3 linked regions of the Schizosaccharomyces pombe genome follow. Changing the gene in region 2 together with the main gene of any one other region gives a genetic interaction. Each region holds a gene or a part of one and is shown on either strand. Other genes may lie near its edges. The genes, in order: caf16, pfl9 and tim13.

What was found.
Region 1: mutations in pfl9 (region 2) and caf16 together harm fitness more than expected from each alone (negative genetic interaction), as found in Schizosaccharomyces pombe (one large-scale study listed by BioGRID).
Region 3: mutations in pfl9 (region 2) and tim13 together harm fitness more than expected from each alone (negative genetic interaction), as found in Schizosaccharomyces pombe (one large-scale study listed by BioGRID).

The regions. Positions count from the first base shown.
Region 1 is NC_003424.3:4,810,205-4,813,840, reverse strand, and holds caf16 (CCR4-Not complex subunit Caf16), read right to left. Parts: upstream 1,874-3,636; 5' UTR 1,743-1,873; coding exon 1,619-1,742; exon of another isoform or gene 1,540-1,618; coding exon 1,420-1,539; exon of another isoform or gene 1,375-1,419; coding exon 776-1,374; 3' UTR 662-775; downstream 1-661. Other genes in the region: formin Fus1, read left to right, coding at 1-616; histone H2B-K119 ubiquitin ligase complex (HULC) subunit Shf1, read left to right, coding at 2,574-3,071; phosphoinositide phospholipase C Plc1, read right to left, coding at 3,356-3,636.
Region 2 is NC_003424.3:5,525,881-5,529,578, forward strand, and holds pfl9 (DIPSY family glycoprotein), read left to right. Parts: upstream 1-1,811; coding exon 1,812-2,792; 3' UTR 2,793-3,079; downstream 3,080-3,698. UniProt on the Schizosaccharomyces pombe protein: May be involved in agglutination during conjugation or other aspects of colony formation. Induces flocculation when overexpressed.
Region 3 is NC_003424.3:4,481,954-4,485,192, forward strand, and holds tim13 (TIM22 inner membrane protein import complex subunit Tim13), read left to right. Parts: upstream 1-2,037; 5' UTR 2,038-2,124; coding exon 2,125-2,241; intron 2,242-2,299; coding exon 2,300-2,368; intron 2,369-2,411; coding exon 2,412-2,513; 3' UTR 2,514-2,704; downstream 2,705-3,239. Other genes in the region: G-protein-coupled receptor Stm1, read right to left, coding at 7-822; endodeoxyribonuclease Pnu1, read right to left, coding at 2,882-3,239. UniProt on the Schizosaccharomyces pombe protein: Mitochondrial intermembrane chaperone that participates in the import and insertion of some multi-pass transmembrane proteins into the mitochondrial inner membrane.

The sequences.
Region 1 (3,636 bases), 720 kb from region 2:
AAATGTTGAAAAGGACTTTAGCAATGAAGGCATTTTTTCGAATCATAAAGCTCTTCATCCTGATGACCATATCTGTGAAGTCATGGTTCCATGGATTCCATCAGGAAAATCAATGGTGGATGAACTTAATTCTGATATTACTGAACTAAAAACAACCCTTAAAACAACTCTCTTAATGTATGGTGAAAATCCAGATGAACCTACATCGAGTGCTAGGTTTTTCAATAATTTAAACGAAATAATACTGGAGTACAAAAAGGCTAGCACTGTAAATCAGAAGATGGAGAAGGAAGAAGAACTTGCTTTTCTAAGACTACAAGCTTTAAAAGCATCTGTTAAAAGCAATAATGCAGAAAATAGTGGTTCTTCAAAGAATGAGGAAGTTTCAGCAACAATGGAAAATTTAATATCTCAGCTACAGAAAGGTTTGTGTGATGATTCTTTAAGCAACAAAACCGATTGCACTGAATCATCGAAACAAACAATCGAAACTCTAATGAATTATGAAAATGATAAACAAACTCTAGAAGGCTCAAATAAAAAGAGACAAACAGTCGTCCTTAAAGCTGAATGCATGCTTAAGCAGCTGGAGAATAACAATGAACTTAAGAGATAATGATGTTTGAAATGTTAATGACTTTTAATGACAATTAAATGACTTAAACAAATTATAATGAAATTATAATTAATAAAAGGTATAATTATTAATTCTAGTAAGACTGTAATGCTTGTTAAAGATAGAATTAAGCATCTAAAGGATAACTTTTCTAGTAATCTATTTTGCTCGGGAAATCTTAAAGTAATCAGTAAATACATCAGTTCCAACTTTTAATGATTCTTGAACGTCGTCCCAGGTACTACGCTTTTCCTCTTCTCGAGTTCCCCTATTTTTTTTGTCTTCTTTGAGCCATTCCAAACATGTCTCTAGAAGGGCGCTATTTCCCGTAGAGGACCTTGTCATCAGAGCACCAAACTTGGATATTGGTCCATAATCCACGATACGCCCAAGACTGAGATGGACCAAGTGAGTTGGCCACTCAGCTAAACCATCAAATATATGTGTTGCATAAACAATAGTAGCATTCCTTACTTCCGTTTCCTCTTGCAAAAAATTTAACAAATCTGCCCGGGCAAGAACATCCAAATCTACAGTTACTTCATCAAGTAAAAGTACTTCAAATGGACGCAGAAGTCCCATACATAGTTGAACACGTCGTCTTTCACCATCGGACACTGCATGCATTCGCCAACGAAGATCTATATCAAGAATTGAAATCAAGAAATCCCTACGTTCGGCAAATTTATCTCCTCCAACAGAAGCAATTAATCGTGCAACACTCATATCCCTATGTATAACAGGGTTGTTAACCCATTCTACAAACGCACACATCAGTAAAATTTGATGTTAAAAGAACTTACCAGTTCCTAAATAAACAAATGCAGAACTAGACTCACGAAAAGGATCTTTACCACCCACCGATATATGTCCTGCTTTCGCAAGCGATTTTCCAGATAAAAGTTTAAGTAAAGTTGATTTTCCTGTTTAACAAAATTCCAAGAGGACATCAGTTAGCATTTAAATATTCTTCATCAATTTCCATAACACCGCGAAACTTACCAGCTCCATTGGCTCCAACAAGTAAAGTCCTTGATCCTTTAGGAAGATCTAAAGTTACGTGATCAAGACTTAAAGGCTGCTTTGGAGAAAACGTGTAAGAGAGGTTTGAAACAGTTACTTCCATTTTGAAATAGAATGTTTTAACAGTAGTAAAATATAATTATCTAAGAACTTAGTTTTACAATATATAAAGGATCCAAAAAAAGGCGCAAATTAAATAACACTCAAACTTTGTGGGTTAGCTGGATTGTGTTTAGTACATCTGTGTATCAAGTAAAGTGTGGAGGGAATGCAGTAAAGTTGTTATAAGCAAGACCTCGTACTAATAAATTAGCTTTCCAAGTCTTTGTAAAGAACCTTTTTTAACTATTAAGTAATGCTGCCCATATTTGGAGATGCTATTAAGACCTTGAACACACATCCTGCGGAGTCTTGGAAAGAAAAATGATTAACATCGATGGAACAATTGGCAAACAATATATATAGGAGATAGAAGCAGATAACATTTGTAATCAACTACAATTTATGCTACATATTATTTGGCTTAAAACTAAGTAATAATACTTTCCTAAGGTCACCCCATTTCGTTTAAGACAACAGACAAACCTAACATTCGCATGGAATTTTTTAACAGCAGGCGGACATTTCTCAAATAAAAAAATATAAATATAATATTATTTCATTCCTGCTAAACGATTTTAGCTTTTCAACGTAGTATTGCCCATATCATTAGACTTAATATATTAAACAACAAACAAACATCGATATGGGCGAAGGGCTTTATATAACGCGGTACGTAAAATAGTCTTACCTCAAACCGTTTTCTCACACCGTGATTTTAATTGAATTAAGTATTACTATTTTTCGGTTCTTTAACCAATTGTTTTAATTAGATAGTGTACATTTTTCGTGAAAAAAAAGAACCATTAATATCAGCACTTAATTATTCACTTTAATGAGCAGCAGAAGAAATGACTACCACTATGATGGAAACGACCACCAGTATCGTAGTCCTTTGAAATCAAACGTTGATCAAAACAGTTTTTATGAATCTAGTTATAGGAGCCGACAATCCTACCATCAAAGAACAAAAACACCCAGATCTAGTTATGATTCACCCTCTTCATCTACAAATTCCAAGGAACACAATTCTCCCTATCATTATAGAGTCCCTAGCAATAATTCAACAAGAGCGTCTTTTGGGGCAGCTTCTACGGATACGAATGTAGAATTGCCGAAGATTAATCTTCCAGACTCGAGTTTGTCAAGTAAACTTCAAAGCTGCAAGTCTGCGTGCGAGAATTCATCCCAGAGTTTATTGAATGTCGAACAACAATACGCTCAACAAGTACATTTTTGGGAAAAAATTAGAACGGATATATACCGAGAAGGTCTACGTAGTGATGCAGCTGTAAAAAGCTTAAACGATTTTGTAAATAATGTCAGCTTCTAAATAAATTATTGCAATCATCGTCTGCGTACAAATCATTGAGCTTCCGCTTTGTGGATATTATTATGACTTTTTATTGAAAGTTTTATCCCAAACCCATATTTATAAACATGAATGTTTTTGTATAGCGTTTTTTTTTTTAAAAAAAAAAAATAAAAATAAAAAAACGCTTCATACACTCTAAACATTCTCAGACTACTTCGGTTCTCTCCCTTTTAACGTATAATATGCATTTTAGATTTTCTGAAGTTTCATTACGGTGAAAGTGCTGTAATGGACACAGCGTTCTAAATGTCTTCTTTTTTAATTTTCAAAAACAAACTCGAAAATAACAAATTTTCGCCTTGCATATCCAATAAACGAATATGTCTATAGCCTTGTTGCAGTCTGTCAATCGGACAAGTAAAATTAGCAAATATAGAGTCATTTCCATTACTTCCTCGATGATGGACGAGAAATCGGATCATGGAATAAAAGTCATCACTAATTATACTCTCATAAACCATGGTTTCTCCCCAAAAAGGTCGAAATCCATTTTCGTGCACAACTTTGGAACACCAACGAAAAG
Region 2 (3,698 bases):
GGTGTTATTTGAAGACAAAACCTTAATGGATTCGTTTTATACCTGTAAATATACTATCCAATTCTATCAAACGTACTTAAAAACAAATACCGATTCATAGAATTTGTTACGATGAAATATTTCTAATAATAGTATACTAATTGCAAATAATTTACCAGGTCCAAAGTCATTGATCTGGACTATATTGACATTCCAAATATTAATAGTATGTCTTAGCGTATATAAAAATTAAGAAGACTTCAACGCTAAGTATGGATTCAGCTCTTTATTTTGTTATAAAAAAATAACTCAATGCTAAACAATAAAATAGCCGAGCAGTTTTCAATTAAGAATTGTCTAGCGAAATTTCATTAAACAACCTAAATCATATGGAGTTTTTTTCTTTTTTGATATTTGGCTCAGGCAAAGAAGAAAAGTTAAGAGTGGTATTTCTTAATAAATTAATGTCTCAAAAAAGGAATAAATTTTTTTTTTAAAATGCTAAATTTTAAACGTCCTCAGTTGCATAGATGAACTTTAAATGATAAGCGAACGAAATGCAATCGATAAATCATTGTCTCTTAGTAAAGTGTTCGGTTAAAATGACTGACATTTCGTCCGAAATAATATCAGTGTAAATATCATGGGAAAATTTCGTGTATTTCTTTATTTGGAATGCGCAGCAAAGTATCAAGAGAATAATTAGTGTTTTATATGATTTAATTTTATTGCCGGTACAATTGTATGGTTGTTCTGATAAATATACATGCTTTGTCGGTTTATCACTCTGAATAAATTTGTGATATATATTGGTTTATTTATTCAATCTATGTATCATGTAGTTGATGCTTTCATTTTTTTCATAATTTTAAAAATATCAGTTAATCATTTATTCAGCAACTGTAACGTTAAATCATTAATATATATATCTATATCGGCATGCATTAAGTTGCTACCGTTAAACATCTTAATTAAAACTAGTCTTTTATAATAACTAACTCTTTAATTTTTTGAAATTAGTTCAATTTACTGTGGAGGGCAGTCGATTGATAAAAGCTTTTCGATTCACTTGTAGCTTTAATCGGTGCTCGTTGCATCAATATTGGTTTATATAAGCCAAAGCTTTCATGGCTATTAATGAGTGATGCCGGTTTAACTACTCTAAAATGTTTTGAAAATGATAGGTATGTTTTGATTTGCTTCATCTTTTTATTTCAGTATTAACAACCTAGTAATTAAAATGTTAACAAAAAAATTTGACTACCTTTTCGAATCACATGTTTTCAGTGCTAAGTTGCCTCCAGACTGTCTGCAGTGAGTATAGGTGTTTTATAAGAAATTTGCTACATAGTATCAAATCAATAATATGAATGTAGTTTTATCAAAAAAATATTCATTAAGGCGACTGTACTGAAAGAGAAGTAGGTTAATAATAGACTCTTAAGAAAATTAACGAGAGGCGTCAATTTCTGTTGCTAGCATATATTGCGAACTCGATCGGTATGTGAATTACTACGAAAACATGCGAGCCGCGTTAACAAATGTGCATTGCCTTGTCTTAAAGTAACTAAGTTTCTCAGAAGCAGTATAAATAGTAGACTACATTAATTTCGAAGTTCCGATAATGATCTTTTTATAGAACTCAAATTTTTTAATTTGATATTGAGAATTCGAATAAAAATAACTATGGGATTAACAATAAGGGGGTTTCCGAAATTTTGGGTACTGGTTTTATATGCGCAGTTTTTGTATAAATGAACAGGCCTTCTCACACGTCTTTTCGGTTCATATTTAGCGATCAGAAGTCGTTAAAAATTTTTCTCCTATAAACAATGAATGTGGTGAAGTACATAATTTTTAGCTTTGCTCTGGCGCCTTTGTTATTAGTTAACGCGAACACATATAATTTTACACAGATACAAAAGCGAAGCGTAAACCAAGCTGTTCTTGAATCAAGTCAAGATACCAATTCAGTAGGCGGTGAAGCTTCTTCAACAGCTTGCCCTTTATTCACTACTATTTACACTAATGGTATAACACCGGGAACTACAACGATTTATCCAACATCTATCTCGACATCTGGCGTATCTAGCAACAATATCGATGAAACTTCGGTATCCTCTGAGTCTATCATCACATCCACTATTACGACTACTATAACATCTGGTTCGCAACTCTATACTACTACCATTACCGGTCAAAACACACCTGTTGATACCGTTGAAGTGGTAATCCCTACTGCTGGTACTTTCACAACTACATTGACTTCTGGATCCAGTTATCCTGTCGCAACAACTACAGTGCGAACAGCTTCTGGAACACAGTCAGGTGAAGTGGAGGTTATCACACCGTCCTGTGGATGCAGTCCTGAAAATTCATTCCATCTTAAAATAGACAATGATAAAATCAGCCCTTCCTACGTGTACATGGATCCAAACGCACCCGTGAGAACTAATGGTGCCGGTCGAGAGGGGAATATGTTTGCTTCAACTAATGGAGACAACGAGGGACTAAACCTTTTCTACTATGATTCCACTATTCAACGAGTATTAACATGTGATTGTCAAAGACCGTCTTACACTGTATACATTGAAGATCCAATTATAGGCAATGGTTTTTCAAGTGCTTGGAATCTCATTAAAAATAGCGATGGCATATTTACTCCTGTTGAATCAAGAAATAATGAGCCACTACACTTTCATGTAGATAACAATGGAAGAGTATGGATGACTTCACAAGAATATGATACAGAAGTTTCATCAACCGACGAAAGAAATTTTAGGGCCAATGATGTTACACTTCAACTGTATTAGTTGAAGCAGCAAATTTAGAATTGCACATACTCTCGTTTAATTTTTTGTATTTCAGGTCATACATATAATTTTTTTTACATTCATTTGATATAATATTTTAAAATTACAATCCATGAAATCCTTTATCAATCCCTATTGAAGATGTCAAGAAGTTGACTTCCTCGGATTTCATATTTTTCTCAAGTTCTGCTGTAAACTGAAAATAGGGATATTTAAATAGTTCTTAATTATTTTTTCCACTAGAAATTGATTGCTCTACTAATAAAATACTGTTCCAAGTTATCGGCACAATTATTACTTTCGTAAACAAAATTTGTATTTTATTTATTTTTTTTTTTTTTAAATTAATCATAACTAGTGGTATTAGGAATGCATATTTTAATCTAAGTTCAAATTAATTGCTTTCATAGTAATCATTGATATTTGTTAAATAACTAGGTTTAGGTAAACCGTACTAAAATTGAACAGGAAAGGATAAATTTTAGTAAATTTTGTAGATTATGCTTTTCGTAAAAAATAGTGGTGGCCGGTTTTAAAGATAAGTTTGGATAAACTGGTTATAATTTCCTTAAGTGAAATTTAATCACTTAAAAAAATATTAGATCTAAATAGTAACTATAGACAAGTTTTGTATAAGGAAAATGACAATTAAAGATAAGGAGCTAGACTAGTCTAGCGCTTGTTTTGAGTTTAATATTAGACCATTCAGAATTTTTTTACTCATTATTACTAAAAAAGAAAACTTAAGCAAGAATTTAAATTGTGGAAAGTCTCTTTTACTTATTAATAATTGTAAGCAATAAGGATAAGAAAATCAAAACAGTTTTTTTTAAAAATGTTTCTAAATTTAAAAAAAAATCTAAACCATATGCTGCGTTGCCTGTAAATAGTGTATCTAGGTCGGAT
Region 3 (3,239 bases), 1.0 Mb from region 2:
GCTGTGTTAATAATGATTACGATACTTGATAAACTGGTAGAAGATATATATATCAAGGAAGATGGTGCTGAACGCGCCAAGTATCCAAGGCAGGTTAGCATATGTGTAGTTTAAGTAATCGGAGGCGGGAAATACGAGAATGCTGAAAGCGTATGAAGTGTTTCCTACAGAGGCCAACACAAAAAAGATAATGGATAATCCTTCGGTAGACTTTGCTTTGTGATTCTTGATGATTTGAGGAATACGAGCACAGAAGTATAACACAGAACTGATACAACCGGCAGTAAACGGCCATGCATTCAAGTCATCATCACTCTTGTCAGAAGAGGCACTAGAAATAATTAAGTTTCCAACGATTGTCGAGACAATAACCACACATCCCATTACACCAAATTGTTGACGGGTAGAAAGGCGATCCCACCAAATTTGTTGTTTACCAATGGGTGCATGAAGACCTTCTTCTAATGAACGACTTTGGAGTAAGGGTTCGTGTTCACGACTGGCAATACGACGGGCAGCTTTCCAACGATAGTAGTAAATTTGCATAAGTAGGGTACTGTCAGAGACAATGTAATAAAATGAGAGAACCAATACAGTAGAAGAGACATTTCCGTAAATGGAACCAAGTACATTGAAGAAATCGCCAATAAGCCAGATGATTAAAAATAAATCAGAGATACTTTCACCAGACTGGTTTTTATAATTTTCAAGTAATTGAGGGATCAGTAAAACGACCCAACATCCCAGGGATAATGCTCCTAAAAATGAAGACAACTCCGTGAGTATGTTAGCCATATCAAAAGAAGGAGCTATCACAGACATGGGACAAAAATGCTTGCGAACAGATAATTTTAAAATGAATTTGAGAAGAGCTTGTCTAAGCTTTTTATGGTCAAAGTTTTTTATATGAGTGTGGAGGACAATAAATAAAAAGAACGGGAAACAAAGGGCTACAAAAGCGAAGCAACCTGAAAGGGAAATCAAACTATTAATTTAATAGGAATGATAAGCAATTATTAAAATTTGTCAACTTCCTCGAACGTGTAATGCTTCAGCACTATAATATTCGCTGATTTATTTTAGCGATCCAAGAGATGATACTTAATGAAAATTCGTTACAAGTATTTTTTTTTGTTTTAAAAAATAAACACTAAAAGGAATATCTATAATAATAATAATAACAATGGTAAACAATATTTCTCCCACTGTAAAGAAACAGAAGAGATTTGGTGGTGAGTTTGGCTCTGGATAAGATCAACCTCCCAGCCGTCCTGTTATTTATTTACCTCGGGCAAGGCTATATAGAGATTTCAAGATAAGAAAAATTTGCCGCCCATGCAGTTTCGCAGAATTAAGAAAGTGTCCGTGGATTTACAGATACAATTGATAGTCAATCCAAAGGTATCATTCTAAAGAAATATAAAGGAATAGTAAGCGAAATAGATTTTCCTTCGAATAATCCTATTTCACTTAACAATATAATTCTCAATGTAAATAACAGTCGCATTAATTTTATCAATGTCAAGCTAACTCGTTTTTGTTATAAAATTTAATACACCATAATATCGCTAGCAGTATTAAACATTGAAATGTTTACGTGACTTGTTTGATTCTCAGATTATTTGCAGTAAAAGATGTGCTAATTCCATGATTTAATTTCGAGACTATAAAACTCTATAAAAATTTCTTACAAATTGGGATTTTTATTTTTTTTTCTAAACAAGGGTAATGAAAAGTCATGAACGATTCATTTCGTATATTAAAATATTAAAAATAATAATAATAAAAAAACGCTGAAAAAACTTTTATTTCTAAACTCACCAAAAGGACCCGAATAGTATATCTATCCATTAGTTTAGAAATATTTTATTAAATCTTTTTTTTTTATACCAAGTAGAAAACAAAACAAAGATTGCTGTCTGGTTGTATCGCATATGTCAGCATATTAGAAAATCCATTTTCTATTAACGAAGTCTAATTGGTGATGATGGCCGGTTTCTGAATTAGTCTCCCTAAGTACACCGTTTGGTACTTTCCACGAACGTACCATTTCCTCATTAATTTTCCTTGTAAAGGAGTAAAAATTATCCACATTCATAAGTTTTAACGTTATACTTAAACAAAATGGGCATTTTCGGTGGAAATAGTGGAAATGCACCTTCTTCTGAAGACAAAAAATCCATTTTCATGAAACAAATTCGTCAGGAACTTGCTGTTGCTCAAGCTGGCGAATTGATAAGTGTATGCTCCATTCATTTTTTATGTTTTATTGAATGTTTTAACTAATCGGTTTATCTAGAAAATCAATGAGAACTGTTTTGATAAATGTATCCCGGAGCCTGGTTCCACATTCGATCCCAATGAAAAGGTATGAGAACTATTAAAATACTTTTATTCTAACTAGACAAAAGTCTTGCGTTTCCAAATGTATGGAACGCTATATGGATGCTTGGAACATTGTTTCTCGAACCTATATCTCTCGTATGCAACGAGAGCAGAAAAATCTCAACTGAATAATAATGATTTTTTTTTCTATCATTTTGTTTTACTCTCCTATGATATGTGTCTTGTTGTATAGTTGTGAAGTGACGGCAAAGCTTAATATGCAACGTAGAAATTTTTCTTTTCAACGTAGCTCACGCGCTTTCTCTCTAATAATTATAAACTTTCAGCAATTAAAATTCGTTTCATGTTCTTTTCCTAATCATGCTAAACACTTACAAGTGTTGTTATACTACTGGGTAAAATACTTATAATTGTTTCTTTGACATGTAGCATTTAAGTATTATTGTGTAAATAACAGTTTAAATATTTTCATAATAAAGAACGATCACCGGAAAAACTAGAAAAACTAGAGATTCATTAAATTTCCTTATTCTTATCATTTACCTTGATTCTTTTGTTTTTGTTTAACTGATTCAACAAACTCCTTAACATTTAACTGACACACCACTTCACTGCAAAGTTGTTTTCGGTTACCCTTGGGTACGTTTGATAAGATCTCTAATCCGCTTGCTCGTTCCACAACCTCAACGGGAACTGCAAAGTTCTTTAACGGAAAGTTGTCAGCAATAGGTTTGTTGGGAAGAACGAATGCAGCTACTGATGGACTTGAGGTAGGCTCTCCTGATTTTTCTGCAATGATTACTTTAAAAAAATGAGTAGGAACTGCGACGTTGGGAGGATTGCCAATTACTCGATACTGAACTTCCCATTGTCCACGTTCATTTTTTTTAGGT